Linked DNA regions of Caenorhabditis elegans. The protein of the gene in region 3 interacts with the protein of the main gene of each other region in a pairwise test. Each region holds a gene or a part of one and is shown on either strand. Other genes may lie near its edges.

What was found.
Region 1: the proteins of ehn-3 (region 3) and lin-48 interact in a two-hybrid assay, tested with the Caenorhabditis elegans proteins (one large-scale study listed by BioGRID).
Region 2: the proteins of ehn-3 (region 3) and let-391 interact in a two-hybrid assay, tested with the Caenorhabditis elegans proteins (one large-scale study listed by BioGRID).
Region 4: the proteins of ehn-3 (region 3) and hda-11 interact in a two-hybrid assay, tested with the Caenorhabditis elegans proteins (one large-scale study listed by BioGRID).

The regions. Positions count from the first base shown.
Region 1 is NC_003281.10:3,743,395-3,748,137, reverse strand, and holds lin-48 (Transcription factor ovo-like homolog lin-48), read right to left. Parts: upstream 2,701-4,743; 5' UTR 2,678-2,700; coding exon 2,606-2,677; intron 2,558-2,605; coding exon 2,477-2,557; intron 2,300-2,476; coding exon 2,216-2,299; intron 2,166-2,215; coding exon 1,850-2,165; intron 1,458-1,849; coding exon 1,333-1,457; intron 1,011-1,332; coding exon 846-1,010; 3' UTR 566-845; downstream 1-565. Other genes in the region: arcp-1 (ANK_REP_REGION domain-containing protein), read left to right, coding at 445-540. UniProt on the Caenorhabditis elegans protein: Transcription factor. Involved in development of the hindgut, the male tail, and the excretory duct cell. Involved in modulating function of excretory duct cells. Plays a role in left/right patterning of cell fates in the hindgut.
Region 2 is NC_003279.8:6,036,731-6,042,070, reverse strand, and holds let-391 (C2H2-type domain-containing protein), read right to left. Parts: upstream 3,669-5,340; 5' UTR 3,641-3,668; coding exon 3,614-3,640; intron 3,535-3,613; coding exon 3,422-3,534; intron 3,377-3,421; coding exon 3,298-3,376; intron 3,248-3,297; coding exon 3,047-3,247; intron 2,953-3,046; coding exon 2,834-2,952; intron 2,530-2,833; coding exon 2,217-2,529; intron 1,806-2,216; coding exon 1,607-1,805; intron 1,407-1,606; coding exon 1,096-1,406; 3' UTR 804-1,095; downstream 1-803. Other genes in the region: szy-5 (C2H2-type domain-containing protein), read right to left, coding at 1-397; C27A12.4 (C2H2-type domain-containing protein), read right to left, coding at 4,590-5,340.
Region 3 is NC_003282.8:5,416,023-5,421,050, forward strand, and holds ehn-3 (Zinc finger protein ehn-3), read right to left. Parts: upstream 3,201-5,028; 5' UTR 3,174-3,200; coding exon 3,132-3,173; intron 2,900-3,131; coding exon 2,810-2,899; intron 2,441-2,809; exon of another isoform or gene 2,420-2,440; intron 2,147-2,419; exon of another isoform or gene 2,126-2,146; intron 2,033-2,125; coding exon 1,808-2,032; intron 1,465-1,807; exon of another isoform or gene 1,444-1,464; intron 1,414-1,443; coding exon 1,285-1,413; intron 1,237-1,284; coding exon 1,099-1,236; intron 1,049-1,098; coding exon 884-1,048; 3' UTR 677-883; downstream 1-676. UniProt on the Caenorhabditis elegans protein: Together with the zinc finger protein ztf-16, plays a role in gonadogenesis, specifically in somatic gonad precursor cell development. This is possibly by regulating tra-1 gene expression.
Region 4 is NC_003283.11:10,523,963-10,529,039, forward strand, and holds hda-11 (Histone deacetylase 11), read left to right. Parts: upstream 1-2,221; 5' UTR 2,222-2,347; coding exon 2,348-2,358; intron 2,359-2,426; coding exon 2,427-2,651; intron 2,652-2,848; coding exon 2,849-2,959; intron 2,960-3,005; coding exon 3,006-3,097; intron 3,098-3,163; coding exon 3,164-3,276; intron 3,277-3,832; coding exon 3,833-3,987; intron 3,988-4,035; coding exon 4,036-4,174; intron 4,175-4,275; coding exon 4,276-4,434; 3' UTR 4,435-4,482; downstream 4,483-5,077. Other genes in the region: xpo-7 (Exportin-7), read right to left, coding at 1-271, 321-782, 833-1,660, 1,710-1,847, 1,894-1,908; F25D1.3 (Interleukin-17), read left to right, coding at 4,802-4,933.

The DNA.
Region 1 (4,743 bases), on a different chromosome or scaffold from region 3:
CTTTTCAAAGCAGCCGACTCCTCACGGATCAGCCATTAGGTGTTCAGCATAACCGGCCGACGTCGGGCGCTTCTATTTTTATGGCCGCCAGTAAATTTTAAGTCAGCACTCATGTACAGCAGCCGACTCTTCATGGGTTAGGGCTAGGATTTGAAGCAGGGAGATGTCGGCCGCTTTCTTTTTTATTGACAGCAAAATTTCAAAACATCTTAGTATAACTGCCGGCACCTCACTAGCGGGAAATAAGGATTAGGGTTATAACAAAACCATGAGATGTCGACTACTCGAGAAACTGACAAATTTTAAGTGCCAACTAGAAAACGTGTTTGGCAGCCGACATCATAAGGCTTTAGTAAAGCGGCCGACACTTCGCGCGCACGCTTCAGAGATTATGCTGAACCCGTTAAATGTCCGCTGCAATTTTAAGCATTTATTTTTTTTCAGGTTCTACTTCGCCGTCCTGCCGACCCTATTGGATTTATTGCCGAGTGGCTCTCAAAATACGTCGTAGAAATTCCACGTCACAATGGAAGTCATTGATTTCAACACATTTTTTAAGAATAAAAAAAGGAGAAACTTTTTTATTTCAATAAAATGTGTCATTTTTTGGGAAAATTTGTTGTCATTGGTATAAGTTAAATACATCATGGAATCATCTAGAAGACAGAAATGGGTGAAAAGGGTCTTGGACGGAGAGAAAATAGTGTCATTGGGGTTAATAAATCAGTCACGGGGGTGCAAAAAGGATCACCAACAAATGGGGAAATGACGATGATTTGGAGGATTTTTGGAAAATAGCTAATTTCTAAAAAAAATTAAAAATTAAATAGGAAAAAAGGTGAGTATTATAGGGAGATCTTGGAAAGTTGTTCGGGTTTCATCGATGAGTTCTTTTTCTGAAGCTGTGTAAACCGAAGGTAGGCGGCCGAGAAGGGGTGTACTACCTTGATGTGAGATAGATAGACTTCGAACTTTTCGTCCGTATAACCACAATCTTCACAGACGAATACCTGGAAATGTAGAAGTTATTGTCGGTCGGTGTGTGCCTAGATGCCTAGATGCCTAGATGCCTACATGCCTACATGCCTACATGCCTACATGCCTACATGCCTACATGCCTACATGCCTACATGCCTACATGCCTACATGCCTACATGCCTACATGCCTACATGCCTACGTACCTTCATGCCTACATGCCTACATGTCTACATGCCTACATGTCTACATGCCTACATGCCTATTTTCTATTTCTATTTTGTCTATTGTTTGAGTCTACTTTGAGAGTAGGCACGCAGGCGTAGGCAGACATGCATACCTTTCTGTCAACTCACCTTACTACGACGCTCTTTGTAGGCATATTGATGAGTGACACCGTGAACTTTCCGTAAATGGGATTCCAAGGAGCATCGTTGAGTGAACGACTTCTCGCATTGCTCACATTTGTAGGGACGGACGCCTGGAATACAGAAGGTCATAGGTAGATAGGCACGCCTGCCTTTGTCTGCTTATTTTTGAATTTATTATTAAACAATTTTCTATTCAAATAACTTTTTAGAAATACATTAAAATGAGCAGAACGTGTTGTCGGTTTCAATTTTAATGTGGTCCCCTTGATTTTCCACCGTAAATCAAGTTAGAATCGTCGACAATTTGCGGTGAAAATGTGTGGAATATTACGCTTCGCTACAATGGATTCAATGACACCCCACAAAAAAGCAGTGTGCTAGACAAACAGACGCAGACAATTGTCTTCCAACCGTAAGTCAACGGAGGGTAAGAAGAACGACAAATTAGTGGTTATGAATTGGTGGCAGAGGTAGAGGAGTACTTTAAAGTGTTGAGAGGTACCTGTATGTGTTCTGGTATGCCTTTTTAAGTCGAATGTATCGTTGAAACCCTTTCCACAAAATGTGCATAGATACCGTTTCAGGTCACTATGACACTTTATGTGACGGTTCAGAAGACGTTGTAAACCGAACTTTTTGCCGCAAATGTGACAGGTTAATGAATCTTGGAACTCGTCTTTGCTGGAGGAGATGAGGGATGAAGGAGATACTGTTGAACACGGAATTGAGGTGGTTTCGAAGGAGCTGATCAACGGAGCCAGGGGGTTTTTGACTCCGTAGCCTCCGTTTACAAACTCCACTGCTGGATTTATAATTGGCTGAAAATCAGAAAAAAAAAATTTAGAATTTTCCTTGATTAGCGTCTTACACTGGGTATGGCTGCCTTGGGTGATGGCGAAAGAATCGATGCTGGTGGTGAAGGATCATCATCGAGAAATCGTTCAATGAGAAACTGAAAATGTTCCTTTCATCGTAGATAAGTATTGTGCCTGCCAATGTGTCTATCTAGGCTACGCGGTTCAAAACGAAAAAGATAATTTCAGGCGGTTTCAGAACAAAAAATATTAGATAAAAATTTCAAGATGGCCGAGATTTCTAATTTTCTAGGCCACCAACTTTCCATTCCTACCTTTTTCGAATTCTTCTCTTCGGGTTTGCTGCTATTGGTGCTACTTCTCGAAATTGATGTATTATTATTATTTGCAATCATCTGAATTCACACTTTCAAGTTTTTTTTTTGAAATCAAGACTCAAATACCTGAGTAATAACACTAATGTCTCGAGGCAGCAAATGCGCTCCAATCAGCGGCAGCCATACCCGTGAATCCATCTGAAATTGAGCAGAGCTGAAAATTTTTGTGATGATTTTGTGGAATTTTTTCCAAACAAGGAACAACAAGCGGAAGCGTCCGAGTCGGGGCGGGGTGTGTTATCACCGAAGAAATCCAATCCGGCAATTATTTCAAATACTCGGCGCCAGATAATAATAGGTACAATGTCTCGGATGTCGGGAATAATTGGAATATGGAGGTGTTGGCTCCGAGAGCACAAAATCACGGTAGGGAGAGGATAATCATGAAACCGAAAGTGAAATTTAGGATTTTTCTGGGATGGTTTAGGGGAGAGGTACACAAAACTATTGAGCGTTCCCACAAGCCGAAGCCTAGGCTTAAGCCAAAGCTTATGCCTAAGCTGAAGCCTACGCTGGAAGACTGAGCCTAAAGCAAAGCCTGAGCCTAAGCCCTAGCTTGAGCCTAATCTTAAGCCTAAGCTTAAGTCTAAGCCTAGACCTAAACCACAAAAAAAAGTTGGGTAATTTTCACGAAACTCTCCCAAAACCATTTTTAGTTCAACAATAAAAAAAATCCGAAAAAAATATTTTGTATTTTTTTAAATATTTTTTTGTGTTTTTTGTGCATATAGTTTTGAAAAAGTTGCATTTATAACAGGAAATTTCAGTAAGACAGAAAAATCTTCAGTTTTTGGCTGGAAAACTGAAATATCTGAGAGAAAAATTACCTAATCGAATTGTTTCAAAATTTGAGCTAGAAACATAGATAAATATTTGGTTCACTTGAAAAACTATTTTTATTTTTGTTGAAAATTTTTAAAAATCCCCCAAAATAATTTCTGCAAATTGCCAGAAAATATAAAAATGATGCAAGAAGGGACATGAAACTTCTTCTTACATGTAGATATATTAATATAATTGTAAGGATATATGACACAAGTATATTAGGCAACTAGTAGACGGTTACAGTTCCCCCTTCTTCCCTTTTGTGTGTTGGTGAAACGGATGAGCACTTGGCGCACTTGAGAAGCGGTTTCTAGAGAGAAGAAGAAGAAGCATCAATTGGAAAGAGAGGAACAACAAAACAATTGTGTATGGCACCAGAAGAAGAAACAGTTGCCCAATGCCAAGATGGGGGAACGTTTAGCAACGGATGAGCTTGTGGCGATTAGAAGGCAGGTTGGCCGTGACTACAAGAGGATTACGGTAGGCAGACATGAAGACCGTTTTGAAAAAGGAAGAGAGGGGGATTATTGCGTAATCGTTCAGGGAAGGGGTTTCGAAGTTTTCTTCTTTTTCTGCTTTTTTTTTGAGAACGAACTTTCAAAAAAAAAAACTGAAAAAAAAAGAAAACAAGTTCCAAAGGCGCGTTTTCCTGTCTACATGCCTACATGCCTACAAGCCGCCGCCTAGCGCCTTCTTCTTGTTGGAATGAACTTTGGCATTATGTATCTGAGCAGGCAAGGTAGGCAATAGGCACGTATTCAGGCACAAGGCAGGCGAAGGTTGTCTTAGATGCAGGCAGGTATTACTGTGCCGAAGTGGTTTTTTCTTGGAATTTAGATGATACTCTGAAACTTTCGATGAACTCAAAAATGTGGCTATCATATTTTTGCGAGAAAAACTAAATTAAGTTACAGTAAATCTTAAAATTCTTATTTTTAATGAGTGGCCTAGTTTTCTCAATCTTTTTGTGATTTTTCTCCTAAAATTACGGCCATGGGTCCTGGCACGAGCGAAAAAAAAACTTTCCAACTACCGTACTCTCTTTTACCGGCAATTAAAAATTTCCAAATTTAATATAAAGTTCAAAAAACTGAATTCAAATACCAGCGATATATCAAATTAATTAACAAGTAACGGGAGAAAAGTGTCATAAAAGTCGTTTTTGATATCTATCAGGAAAAAAGTGATAAGGGTGAGATAATAGTGGCGGCTGAGAACGCAAGAACTTTTTTCATTGATAAGAACACAGATATCAATTTAATGAAAAATCGCATTGAGGTCCCGCAACAAACCCCAAATTTGGGTCTCGTCGCGAAAATAAATTTACTTATTTTTTTGCGATAAGACTCATCTCATTTTCGTAGTTCGTAGAAATAACT
Region 2 (5,340 bases), on a different chromosome or scaffold from region 3:
TACAAAATGAACATTTGTATGGTTTTTCATGTGCATGTTGCTGCATATGAGTTTTTAATGTATGTGCTTGACTGAAACTTATATTGCAAATTGAACAAACATTTGGCTTCTCTCCAGTATGTTTTCGAATGTGTTCAGTTATTTTTGATGGATATTTTATGTGCTTATTGCATTGAACACAATGATATATTTGTGCCGGTGGTCGTTTTTTCATTCGATAACTTCGATTTGTTGGATCATTTCGACGATAAAGACATTCGGGACGACTTGGAAGAATTTCGACGGATTCGTTGAATTGTTCATATGTAAATGTGGGAATTCGAGTAGTTGGTTGAAAAACTCTAATATTTGGAATTCGAGGACGAGGTAGTTGAGGTTTTACACAAGATTCTGCCATTTCTGAAAATATCGATTTTTATTTTTCGACGTTAATTTTTTATGGGCCTTCCTGGACCTTTAGAAAGTTTTTAGCAAATTAAAAAAGGTATATCTAAAAAAATTTGTTTTGGATTTTGTGAAATTTGAAAAAAACAATTAATTGGTTTTTTACATTCTAAACCCTTTTAAAACATTTTATAGAAAATTGGGCTCAAAAAAAAAGTACCGCTACATTTTTTCGAACTGCTCAAAAATAGCTTGCTGAAAGTTTGAAAATGTTAAAAAAAATTTCAAAATCTCATCTTTTCAATTTTTGCGAAAGGAGAAAGTTTCAAAATATATTGGCAAACAATAAAAAAAAAGCAAGTATAATTAAACAGTAAAAATACTGAATACGGAAAAGAAAAAAAATTTGAAAAATCTGAGAAAAAAAATCTTTATTAAAAAAAGAAGCAAAAAGAAACTCGTAGGTTAACCAAAATAAACTGAAAATTGTGAGAATTAATTCTCACAATTTTTCTAGAATTTGAATGAAAAAAATGGTTAAAAAATGCAAAATTTAATAGTGGCCTAGAAATTTGAAATTTGAATAACTCTTCCATTTTAAAAACTAATTGCTGGGTGGAATAGAAAACTGAATATATGAAGTAGAAAATGCTAGTTACCCTATAAGTTGCCTAGATATTGGAAAATGAAAGAGCTTTTTCAAGTTTCTGGTCAAAAATGAACAGTTTTTTGATCTTCCATGCTTCCTCCTTGCTCCACAAATTCCTCTTCATCATCTTCAAAATGAGCCAAGATCTTGACGTCATCACCATCACCAGTGAGCATTATAATCTGATTGTTCTGTTCATGATCATCTTCATAAACAATAACTGAATCCTGTGATTCCTCGTGATTCACTTGAACATGATCGAAAATTGGTGTGAAGAGCTCGGGATGTGCATTTTTTCGATGTCTCATGAGATATACACGACGAGCAAATACTGCATTACATCCTTTTACAACGCATGTGTAACGTTTTATACCTGGAATGTTTCAAAAATTGTAATTTTTGTAGATGACTACTCTTTTAAATATTTTTGAGTTAACATATTTTCAATAACACTCTTAATTTGAGAAAATTCTAAAATTTGCAACAAAAAAAAATGGAAATTGCTTTCTTTTTCTAAATTACCCCCGGTTTTAACCCAAATTTCGGATAGTAAAATATATTTTGAATATTTACCAGTGTGTACAGTCATTTCATGTTCTTTTCTAACAGAATCCGTTACAAAAGACAATCCACATCTCCAAGTACATTCAAATGGACGTTCTCCAGTATGCATTCGACGAATATGTACTTTTAAAGAGCTCGCTTTTGACAATGACAAGCCACATTCTCCACATTCAAATGGTTTTTCGCCTGTGTGTGTTCGGATATGATCCTGAAAAATGGGAAAGAAATTTGTATTTAAAAATAAATTTATCTTTCTTTTTTTTATTAAAAATTGTAATTTTTGATTTCAAAGTTTAGAAAATTCAACAATTTTCGATATAATAAATCATATTATATTTTTCTAGAAATTTCAGAACTTGAGAGGTTTATAAATAGAGAGAAAATTGGAAATTTTGTTTTTTAACACATTTAAACCTATAAGCTTTGATTTAAAAAATTTTAATTACAAATATTTTTTTCTGTTTGCTCAGAAAATCAAGTTTCGAATGCTTTTTATCGAAAAAATTGTTTCTCTGTCCAATTCTCAATTTTTCAGCAAAAATTCAGCTTGTGGGCACTGAAATAATTTTAATTTTTCATTTTTCACCAAAATTCGTTTTTTATCGAAAAAAAAACTAACAGCAATTTTGCTCGGATGTTTAAGCATTAATCCACAAATATTGCATTGTGCAAGTGTTGCTCTTCGATTTGAAATATATGCTCTTTTCTGAGGAGCTTTTTCTGGTTCTTCGATCGGAATTTCTTCATCAATCGGAGCCAAAACTCGAGCCAATACTGTATTAATAACGTCATCAATTCGAGCATTAGATATTGCAGCTTTTTCCATTTCTTTTTCTGATGGATATATAGATTGTTTTGTTGTTTGATTTGATGATTGAAATTGAGAAGGTGAAGAGGAAGAAGTTGATGGATCACTTTGAAATATTGAGTCTCTGCAAAGTTATTTTAATTTCTTTTAAATTTACCAATTCGGAAATAAGATGGAAGTTTTCGAATTTAGAAATTTTCAGGAGTTTTATTTAAATTATCAAAGTTTTTTATTAATTAAAACACCGATTTTTTAAATGTTGTTTTAAAATTTGTTAAAGAACAAAAAGTGTTAAAATCTCAATTTTAAAGATTGCTGATTAAACACCGCAATTCACTTTTTAAAAAATGTAAAATCTTATAATTCTTGTTTTTTGTTGTAATTTTTATTTATTTTATCAAGTTTAGTTCACTTCTGCATATACTTACATCGTTGGTGGTGATATATAATTAGCTAGTGCAGAATTTGAAAGTATATCCATATCCATTGATGGACAAACAATCTTTTTAACTGGTTTCAGATAAGGCCGTGCCGGTCCTGCTCGCTTCTGCAAAAAATATATCTTATTCCGGTAATCTTTTAGGATATAAATGCTTGATTCGATGTTTTAAATTTTTCTATAGCATAAAAACTTTTCTTACCAATCCATTATGGCTTAATTCGTGTGCAGTTCTGCGTGAATTATTCACAAATCGTTTGCCACAACCGAAATTACACAGAAATGGGAGATCACCCATGTGTTGAACACGAAAATGGTTAATCATTGGAGTTCTTTGAGTGAATCTCATTCCACAAATGTCACATTCGTATGGTTTTTCGCCTGTGTGAGTTCTCATGTGTTCCTGAACAAATAAAAATCTTCATTTTGTTATAAAAATAAAATATTCTGTACCATAATCCTCGATGGATATTTCAACGCAACTCCACATACTTCGCACGTCGTCACCGTCGGCAACTTTTGATTTCCTTTCCTTCAATTTTATATTTAATAAATTTTTAGCACAAAAATTTCATACTTTTTTCTGTATGTCGAATCTGGAATCTTGACAATCTCCTCGAGCTCTTCGTGCTCTTTTTGCGCGTCGGGAGTGCACTCAGCTGCCCATTCCTCGAAAATTGCATCGGAATTCTGAAAATTTTTGATTTTCTTAATGAAAATTGGAAAACTAAATTGAAATTAGTTATTTTACTTGCGATAAATGTACTACTTCGTCTAAATCCTCGTTATTCTTCATTTTGGTTGTTTATCGAATTTTAGGATCTGGAAAAATACACAATTAATGGCAATAAGGAAGATTTAATCATATAAACATAAAAATTTTAAAGATTAATAATATTTATATGAAAGGAAAAATTCAACAAAAACTGTTTTAAATAGAAGAAAAAGTCAAATATTGATTTTTTGCGAATAAAAAATAAAATTGAAAATAAACAACGACACTCCGATATCCCGTCTTCGAAAGAGCGCGAAATTTGAATTGAGGGTTTAATAAATATAATTCTTTGCAACGGCTGAAATCTTGTTTCTTAACGAGACAGAAGAAGAAGTAATGAATAGATCATTGCCATCACATCTTCATTTCCATTCAAATATTGGAGTTTAATCTTTAAATTGATAAAAGCCGTTCGGATAACATACGAGTAGAAAATGTTCATAGTGAAACAGCAGCACGTTGATCATGCAAATTCATAAGGAAATCAGGAAGTTTTACGAGTCTAAGAAATAGGCGAATGTTTTGTGTTGTGTATTGAGCGTTAGACAAGGAGATTTACGTAGATAGAATATTTTACTTTTAACGTAGATAGAATATTTATTATGAACATACGAGAAGGAATGTGAATAAAGGCTCAATACTCGAGAAATCGAAGAAAAAGAAATTGAGATGCAACATGGAATTTAATAACGATCTCCGTGATGGCGTGAGCGATCTCTTGAATAATCCCGCTTTCTTCTTCTATAGTCACGACGATGGTGATGCTCTGAACGTCTGGGGGTCCACTCATCTGTCGAGGGGCTTCGGCGACCACGCTGTGAAATTTACAGATAGATTTAGTTGGTTTTTTCGCATGATCGAGGAATAAACTAGGTCATTTTGCAAATTACTCACCCTCTGGTTTCTCAATGGCGATTTCGGTGTATGTTCCCTGTTACGTGGCTGGTGTCCTGCTCCACGTCCCCGTTGATTAGATGGAGACATCGGCGATCGCCTTGAGGGGCCCTCCTCCCGCTGCTCGGAGACGTCTGAAATGTTTGAAATCGAAACGATGGTCTGGGACCGCTTTGCTTCCGGAGAGATGAGGTTCCGGAATCAGCTTGTCCACAGCTAGAGTTGACAATGGTGCACCGAAAGACGAAGAACTCGCCCTATTCCCAAAAAAGTTCCCAAAAGCTGGCTGGGCCAAGCGAGGAGTGGAAGGACCTGTAAAGTCGAAGCTGCCTTCTCCAGATCTTTCCTCGACGGCTGGGATTGATGACCCGGAGACCGCACGATCGGAGAGGAATCCTAGACGTGCTGGTGCAGATGAATCTTCTGGCGCCTTTCCACGTGAGCTGGTAGGAACAACATTCTCTAACCGTGACATAGTCACAGTCTTGATGAACTGAACATCAGGAGATGAGGAGCCATCTCTCTGAGGCCCTCTGGAGTCTTTTGGGAGCTGGCGTACTTCGCAAAAACCCATATTTGGTGCAGGGCTCCTTGTAGTAACCTCTTCTTTAATTGGAAGAGCTGATGTGGAAGAACTGTTGAGCTCTACATCGATTTCCGGAACCTGGTGGCTGTAGGATGTTTTCTTCCTCGAGATCTGATTGAAACACGGAAGATCATCATAAGCAGGAGTTCCTCCAGTCCTCCGAGTGTTGTGGGCATAATTGGAGGAAGTCCTATGCTTATGGTATTCTTCCTTCGATATAACCATAAGAAATACGTTCAGC
Region 3 (5,028 bases):
GTTTGCACACTTGTGATCCTTCCTCTCGATTGCCTTATTTCGCCACTACCTCCTACTGTATGTGTACTATTATAATTGAACGAAAATGATGAACAAAGGGTTTGGAGACAATCGAATCGTGCTTAAGATCACTTTTTTCATGTCTCAGATGGGATATTAGCTTGAGAATTTTGAGAATTTTTTTGTTGATATTTTTATAAAAGAGGCAAAATTGTGAATAATATTTCAAGAGCAAAACTCTATAAATACATCAAACTTTAGAAAACTGTAAAATACTTTTTTCTTAATTTGTTTTATTATTAATGTTGGAGATGTAATAAAGTTTTCAATAAATCTCGGAAATTCAAAGTGTTATCACTCCTAGAGATGACTTTTTTAATTGGACACTTTGTGAAAATTATCTTCAGAGGAGCATTTTATACTAGAAAAATTGATCTCGCCGTTTTTTTTTAATTAGGCTTTTAAAATGCGAAAATCTTCATTGTCCTAAAATCAGGAGTAATGTTTTAAAATCTGTTGGTAGAAATTTGAAATTTCTTAATCTAAAACTCTTGGCATTTCCTCCTTAAAACTGCTCTCCTGAAGATAAAAATAATCAGCATAACTTTTGCAAAATTCGCATATCAATAATTTTTAGTAAATCTTTTGAAGTTTTCAGAAATAAAATCAACTACCATAATTGAGAAAATCATATTTCTAACTTTCAAATATATAAAACAATTAACAGAAACAAATGTAACAATTAATTCACACAAGAACAGAGTTAAGTATTTTAAAACATCCCAACAGAAGATGAGGAACATTATTGATAAGATTGATGCTGGTACTTAACAATAAATTGAACCATGCTATAACTTTGAAAAAGAATCGACATTTTTATATTTTAGAAGTTATGATTGGCGTAAACGAGATGAGCAGCAAAATCATATTTTCCATCGCATAGGCTTCCACAAAGTGAGCATTTGAACGGAATATCATCTGAGTGGAGTCCACTGTGCAAATACCACATCACTTTGTCATCGAATCTGATTTTACAGTAATCGCAGTACTGAAATAATTGTTTTTTTACAAAATACGTTTTTTCCCAGAGGTACATACCCAGCTCTCTGGACCATCCAACTCTTCTTCTTCGGGAGTTTCGATTTCCGTAGATGGTGTTGGAGACAACTCTTTTGCGGATTTTACAGATCTAGAGCACTGTGGCAATGGGGCTTGTGAAACAGTGCTATGAAGCGGCTGAAAATATTATGTTACCAGTTGAAAATTCAATTTCAAATTTCTTACAAAGAGTGGTGCGATTTCAGTTTTGAAAAAGTCAAAGATTCTATCAAAATCATCTGGATTCTTGATGGGGTTCAAGATTGAAGTAGTGGATTTTGGAAGAATTGGAGCAGGTTTGAAAGAGAAGAATTTCTGAAAACTAAGGAGATTTATATATATCTACCAAAATCCAATCTATACATAGTGCACGTCTGACTTTAGTAGAGATTTTGTAGAAATAGCGAAAAAGTATTTTGAAATTCAATTCAATTATGTGGAGAAGTTCGAGTATAGTGAATTCTATTTTAGATCAATTTTTCTAATGTTTTGAAGCTTTCAAGTATTTTCGATTGCAAGACCCAACGGTTTTCAAAATTTTACTTTTAGTCTCAAATGAAAAGTTTAGTCAACATTCGGCAAGAATCGGATCAAACGTAGGCTAAACTTAACACATCACAGCTATAACCTACTCGTAAGCAAGTAGCTGATGTAAAATCCAAATAAAAACAGTGTGTGCTTCAATTCTTCCACAGAAAAAAGTACTCACCGTATGATCCAGGTGTGCAGTATGAAAATGAAGCAGAAGACGATGGGAACTGTTGAACCATTTGATGCAAGATTTACATTTAGCTGGAGACGATCCTCTTATGATATGCTCCGAATCTACATGAAACTGCAAACTCGTGAAGCTGTTGAACTTTGAATTGCACGCTGTGATGGGACATTCAAAGGTATTTCCTTTCTTGATATGGGTCATCATGTGCTCTTTCATCTGAGTTGGATTAAAAGTTGAAGAGATTGTTTTCTAATCTGTTTAATGTTTCAAGAAATAATGCTTAATGCTTTATACTACTAGAAAGCTCGATCTTTCTCAAAGTATATTTGAAAATACAACTTTTCTTGCATAACTGAAACTTTCATATAAAAAACTGATGGTCAGATCTGGAAAAAGTAAACGACTTTTAACAATCTTAACTTTGTTTTCAATAAAAATATTTAAAACAAAGCTTTTAAATTTTCTCTAGCTAACAGTAAATTAAAGCCAACGTATCAGTACACATCCACAGAAAAATAATTCCCCTACATCATTTGGCATGCTGGGTGCTAATTCTCTTTTAATTTTTTAGTGCTTTGGCATTAAACATTTATTTTTGAACAGATTCGCAAATCACAGATACCAGTAATCGTAAATTGCATTCAGTGATTATTAAAAACATCATGAAACACATAATTAAAATTTTTGTGTCAATTTCTGAAAATCAATAACACAGATTGTTTCATTCTGCTTTAAATCTGATGTACGAGTGATAAATTGAGTCAACTTTTAGGAAGCTTTTTTCTAGCATTTTTTTTAACGTTTCGACAAAAAAATCGAGTTATTTGTAAGCGTTTGGAATAATTTCAAGTAATTAACTTTCGTAAAGTAGGTTACTTAGTGAATTTTTTTGGTCACTAGAGATAAAGCTTGTACTAAAACGACTAAACTTTATAAAGAAACTTCAATAAAATATCCTCTATACAAATTTATCGGAAAACCACAAGAACTAACCCGATCATTCCGAAAAAAAGGTCTTCTGCAGAACTGACATTCAAACTTCTTTTTTCCACTGTGCATCACCTTATGACGATTCAAGTTTGTCTGAAAAAATATACATGGAAATCAAAATTTTTCTACGATTTTAGTAACTTGTTTTTTGTTGCTTTTCGATTTGAACAATGTTGTAAATTGATAATTAAAAAGAAATTTTCTAAAGATTTGAGTCTTGCGTCTCAGTTTTTCAAGAGCCAAACAAGAAAGTAGTTTACGAAACCATAAGTAACCTGGTAGGCACTTTAGTTTCTACCTATAACCTTTAGTACTCTCCACTCACCTTATTGGAAAACTTCTGGTGACAAATATCGCATTTTTCCATTTTGTAATTTGGAAGCTGGGAGGAATAAAGTCAGAGAGTGTCAGAAAGTGACTATAGGATTTTCTATTCCAAACTTTGGGTGGAGCACAAATTGTTTATAACTTCTCGGGTACTGTCGAAGGTCATTTGGGGGAAATATACAATCCTAGGTGTCAGATATCTTAACAAGTCGGAGAAGAAGCACATCTTCCGACATAACAGATAAGCCGGCTGCCGCTACTTGCCAGATGGTTGGTGACAAACTGGGGTGATATATAGTCAGAGGTCACTTTCATGATTTGGAAGAGAAGGTAGCAAATATAGTGGACAAATTGATATTAAATTACAATTGGGGTCAATTTTAAGAACAGTTACAGTACTTTGGACTGTACGAGTAAAAAAATCCTTTTTTTTTTTTAGAATTAAATTTCCTGTTTCATAGAAAACATTTGTTTGACTGATTTTAAATGTTTCATTCGGTTTTTATTTATCTCTGTAAAGTCTTTTCATTATTGTTAGAATTCAGAATTTTTACAGATTCATGAATTCACTAAAATTTTATGAGTTTCAGGATTTGTTAGTTTCAACAATAGAATCCCCCATCTCCTGCAAAACCGCAAATCACGTGGCGAAAAAAAGCGTTTTGTTCATAGCGTAATGCTCTTCCTTCTTCCTAATACATTAACCATGGCACAAATCGAATAAATTAGCATAATGTGTCCAGGAAGAAGACGACATTGGAAGACGTTTCTGGAGAAAAAGGGAAAAAAGGAAATCAAGTTTTTTCTCTTTTACCTTGGATGTCTGTAATATAGGATTACATGCCGGAAGAAGGTGAAGAGTGCAAAAATATTAGTTTTTAATGGAAAATGCTTTCGATTTTAATGTCAGGAATCGAAGATTCTCCGTGATAAACTTCTGGAAATAATATTTATATTTTTAGTTATCGGCTTTTTGGTGTATGAGATCTGATTTATTCAGTATCCAAAGATAGCTGGAGAGGTCTTACTCAAGAAAATGTTTTCATTTATTTTCAAAAAAATATCACTGTTTCAACAAACCCTTAAAATCAAGCTATAAAAGGCAGAAATGTTTTCAATCGAGATAAATAGGCTCTGATATTTTTTCAGATCTGAAAAATAACTATGAGTTTGATGGAAAGAATGAATGCCATTTTTCAAATTGAACACGTTTCAAATAGTCCATAAAACAGTTAACAATTAATTAATTTTAATCGGGATCATGCTCGACCTCTAAACGTATTATTTCCAAAATTATCCGGTGAAGATTTAGATAAAATATTTAAAAATCCGTCACATTTTTTTCGCATTTTCCGAAAATTTCACAGTTTCAACATAGCTAGAAATTAAATGTATTTTAAATTCAAACTGATTGCAACGGAATTTTAAATGTGAAATATTCAAATGTTTTTAACGTCCAACAAAACCACTGTTTCCTCTGTTTACAGTTTCTAAAGTAGTCCAAAAACCGAAAAATGAAAAAGTTTTGATTTTATTCTCTACTTATTTTTTTGCTATTTTTCATCTTGTACCTTCTACATCATCACTAATTCTGTCTAATGCTCTTGTTGCTCTTCTTCTTCCTCTGCTCATGTTGTTACTTTTTCCTAATTCCCAGCTTTTTTCTCTCTGCTTACCAGTCTAAATAATAAAAATGAGAAATCATAAATACTAAGTTGAAACAAGATACTGCAAAAGTGATATGAAATTAGTTTTAGTGATGTAAATCTTTAACTGTTTCAATATCCTTGTAACTACAGTATACTATAGTATTGATAGTTTTGATAGACTTCCTTAACGCTAGGGCATATTTATGTTTAGTGGTTCTTCAAACAAAAAAAACGTCGCGGGTAGAA
Region 4 (5,077 bases), on a different chromosome or scaffold from region 3:
TTTGATCCATGATATACGCACGACGGAATTGCTCAAGCATGTGAATAAATGAAACTTCCAGTCGAAGATTTCCTTTCAGTGGAACTGTATTATTTGACAACTGAAGCCGATTATCATTGAATCTCATAACTGTTATACATCGGGCAATGAGTTCTCCGTCCATTTTATCGTGAACATCACTGCTTGTTGCTGTCGTCTTTCCGAACACAGCAGTTCCGATCAATGTAATCAACCAAACGAGACGACCTTCGGCAATCGCTGTATTGGCATCCTGTAAATACAAATTATAAGTTTCAAAAAAAAACAACTAAGTGTCTTACATTTTCAGATCCATTCATCCAGATGTTGGCATTTTGATCAAAGTGTTGAGTGAGAAGTTTACATGTGTTTTCATATTCGCATCTACATATAATCGCAAGATGTTCCATAACTTGAAGGGTTGCTCCTTGATCATCTAATGGATTCTCAGCTCCTTCTCTGACAATGCTCTCAACGTGTTGTAATCGACTCTCGACGAATGCTGTCATGATTTCTGGACAATAAACGTTGAGAAGATGCTCATCATTATTTCGAACATATGGAACAGACGTCACCATTCTCTGCCAGAATGTCATAAGAAAATATGTACTGTTGGCTGAGAACTCCATCATTCGTAGGCTTTGTACAGTGAATTCCGCGAGTAACCTTAGCATGTGACTGTAGCAGGGAACAGCGATGAGCTCGCACAGCTGATAATTTGTTTTCAGACGAGCAATCAAACGGCAAAACTCGTGGAATGCGGCCTAAATCAGGTATATAAATATGTTTGCCTTTAATTTTTCATTATTCTTACCTGGTCACTAAGCTTCCCAGGGTTCATAATTACACTGACAACTCCTTCAACAAGTTTTTGAACGTAAGCCTGTCGCTCTGTTCCATTGAAAAGCGTTCTTCGAATACTTGCCAATTGAGCTATTATTGTCATCACTTTTTCACTTGATTCTTGTGGAAGCACATTTAAAAGTTTGAACATAAGCTGTACAATTTTTCCATCAGTAAAACTTGCTCTCCATGCTGTTGGGATTTGCACATTACAGTTGTCTTCACTTGTTTCGTCTGTCAAACTTCCTATATAATCAAAAAGTAGACATTGGAGATTCAAGTTGAGAACCGCGTGAAGAAGACCCAATTGGCGATCGTTCAGATTTCTGTCCACATTATCGTTCAAAACATTCAGAGATACCGAGAAAATCTCATATAAAAAATCGTCCCTGAACTGCGAAAGATTCTTGCGATGTTTGTTAACTGAATCCATTCCCGAAGCTGAATTCATGTCAGCAACGAGTAAGGTTAACAGTTGCACGGCCAGCATACTTTCCTCGATATTATCCATGTTGATTGTTTTGACAAGGCTATCAACCGGATCACGAAATGGATATTCAATTTTTGTGTCTTCTGTTTGATTTTCTGTGGGATTTTGATACGTCCATTCTTGTTTCGTGAGTCTTGCAAAAAGTTGGCAAAGTGATGTGACGAGATATGGAGGAAATTGAGGTGCACCTTGACCTAGCATTTCCAATAAATATTTTGCAAGCTCGAGCTTCTGAACAGAAGTGATGCTAGTTTTTCCGCCGAGAAGTTTCATTAGTGTGGTGCTTGCTACCATTGGTCCGTATGGGTACTGAAAATCATTATGTAAATTGTTTAACACTTTTATTATTTCGACTTACATCTCCTCGTGCAAAGAGAAGCATGCATCTTTGAAGGCATTCGGGTGACTCTGACAGTTCCGCAAGGTTACTCTCGGCTCGGTGTCGGGCTTGCGGATCGACACTCTCATATAGATCTTTGCATAGACTGTTTAGTACCTAAAATAAGATTAGAATGCACATTAAGAATTTTGAAAATGCTAACCGGTAATTCATCCATTTTTGAAGACTTCGAATCCGCTGTTCAGCGATTCACTCCTAAAATATCCAATTCAGAAGTAATTATAGCTTGAGAAAGAGGAGAAAAATGTTTTGAAAAGCAAAAAGAATGTTTAAAACGGATAAAATTAATTCGGCGTCTTCCCACCGTTAATTGTTTCGAAAAACTGCAAACTTTGGTGATGATTTGAGTTTCTGAAAGACGAAACATCTTGTCCTGGTGAAGTACACGGCGGATGGCCGATAAAAAAGTTAGGCCATCCTTTCTCATCCTACTCTACATCCCACAGGCTCTCTCGCCACAATTGGCATCTTTTGGCAGTTTCCACTATTTTCAGAATTCGTTATCTGTTTTCTGATAACAAAAACAAGAAAAACAGAATCTTTACGACTACTTCTTTATTTATCCGCTCTAACCACTCATTCTACGCAGATTTTGAATGGCAGAGCGGTGAGTTTTGAAATTTAATCTGTAGTACAACATGCAGTTGGAAATGCCAAAAATATCAATAATTTCAGAGATAAAGATGAAATCTTTAGTTTAAAAAGTTATCAACGTCCAATTGTCTATCATTCTGAATATAATGTAACTGCATTTGGAATCGAACATTTACATCCATTTGATTCTTCGAAATGGAGAAGAGTCATTACACATTTGAAAGAAATGAATCTGATCACTGATGAAACACTCGTTGAGCCAAATCTACCGACATTTGAAGAACTCACTAGAGTACATGATAGAAAGTAGGCACATGAAAGTGTTGTGAATGTGATTGAATCGTGGAATTGGTTTATGAAAAAATCATGTTTGTATGGCCCCATACTTAAATTGAAAGAAAATAATTAAGCTCATAACGTTTATAGTTGACATTCTAAAAAAAAGTTAGATGAGGCGTTCAACAATTTCAACTAATAAAAAAAATTTATTCATATTATTTTAGATATCTGAAAAGTGTTCGAAATCCTATTAAAGCAGCACAAATCGTCGAGATTCCATTTGTCGGTTGCCTTCCACCGTGCATTATTGAAAGCAAGTTATTGCATCCACTACGGTATCATTCCTAGTAATTGTTGTATTCATTTATTTGTGTTTTCCAGTTTACAAGCCGGTGGAACAGTTTTAGCTGCCAATTTGGCTCTAAAACATGGTTGGGCGATCAACGTGGGTGGTGGTTTCCATCATGCTTCTCGTATGTTTTTGTTATTCCGCAAGAAAAATAGACGCTATGGGATTGTACAGCAGCCTATAATTTCAGATTCGGGCGGAGGTGGATTCTGTTTTTACGCTGATATCACCATGGCAATTTTCGATTTGTTTGACAAAAAGGCAATTGCCAACGCGATTGTTGTAGATTTAGATGCTCATCAGGTACTGGAAAAAACATTTGAAAGAATATAAAATACCGTATATTTTCTATTGATGCGTGCGGCACCTTCACTGCTCAACTTTGACAGCATATAACTCAAAGGAACACGTGTAGTCAGAAAATCCCATTCCGCTTTGATCTTCGAAAAATGCGGGAGTTGAGACGCAGACATCTCATTTGATTTGGAATGGTTAAGAACGTGCTGACGTCACAATTTTTCTGGGAAAAAGTCCCGCATGTTTTGTAGATCAAACCGCAATGAGACAGTCTGACATCACATGAAGGAAGTATTTTGCCTAAAATCATAGATGGCCGATATCTGAGCTTTCAAAGTTAGAATTGTCCTCAAATTTTAGCTACCTTACAGTTACGTTAAGAATTCTATAGACTACGGTATCATTTTGGAAAACCATTTGGAACGTGAATGAAATATGTCTAGCCCGTAAAGATATTTCTCAAATATTAGATATTAATTCGAAATATTAATCACAATATTAATTGTTTAAAAAAATTATTAAAATTTAAGAATCCAATTTTTTGCTTGAATCATACTTTAAGGGAAATGGCCATGCACGAGACTTTGCTGACAATCCGAATGTGTTTGTATTTGATGTTTTCAATCCATATGTCTATCCACATGATCGTGAAGCTCGTCAATTTATTAACAGAGCGGTTCATGTAAATGGTCATACGACTGATACTTCCTACCTCTCGTAAGTATTCATAGCGGCTTTCTGCTTTCACTGACCGACTTTATTTAGCGAATTACGCAAACAACTGGCACAGTGTTTAATTGATAGAGAGAAAACTACTCCTCCTGGTTTCGATTTCATTATGTTCAACGCTGGCACAGACTGTCTACTTGGTGATCCTCTGGGAGCAATGAAATTGAGTCCACAGGTGTGTGAAAGCAAGGAATATTGTTATACGAGTTTGGTATTTGGTGTATAGTCTATTTTGAAATAAGATGTTGCATATTTTTTTGAAAATCAAATTTTCAGTGCATAATTGCTCGAGACGAAGTTGTGTTCAATCTAGCAAAATCAAAAGGAATTCCAATTTGCATGGTAACCAGTGGAGGGTATCAGAAGGACAACGCGCTTCTCATTGCAAAATCAATTGAAAATCTCCAGTCAAAGAATCTCATCAGTATCAAATAAAAAAGTTATATCAGCATATCTTTTCCTTATAAATTATTTTTTATTAAACTATTTTTTATTGTTTAATGGCAGGGGAAACTAAATAGATAGAAGGATCAAGTTCAAAATTTCATTTTAAAATCGAATGGATGATTTTGAAACATTCTATATCAACCCGATTCCATTAAAAATAAAACAATCCAAAATAATACAAAGTACTCTGAATATGAACTTTTCCTAAAACTTTCAATTTTTATGAATCCTCGACTCCTCCCAAATTTTCACTTTATGTGGATGTCACTAGGTCATCATCGGGTAAAGGGTCACACAGAGAGACACAGTCATTTCTCGCCTATATCTTTTATTTGATTCTTCTGTCGATTGCGACATGATTTGCTTCCGTACAGCTTTCATTTTAATTCTTGGAGTAGTGATAGGCACGACAGCAAAACGACACAATGTTCGAAGGCATGTCAATGGTAAATGGACTGATAAACATTGTGAAGAACCACCTAGTTTGGTTAGTTTTTGTTTTTTTAATTGAGAGTAAATAGTTTCACTAGCATGTTCTGGATATTGTTAGATATTTTTACATAGATTTATTCAATAAGTGTGTAAATATGCGTGAAAAATGGATGAAAGTATAACCCAAGTGTAAGTTTAG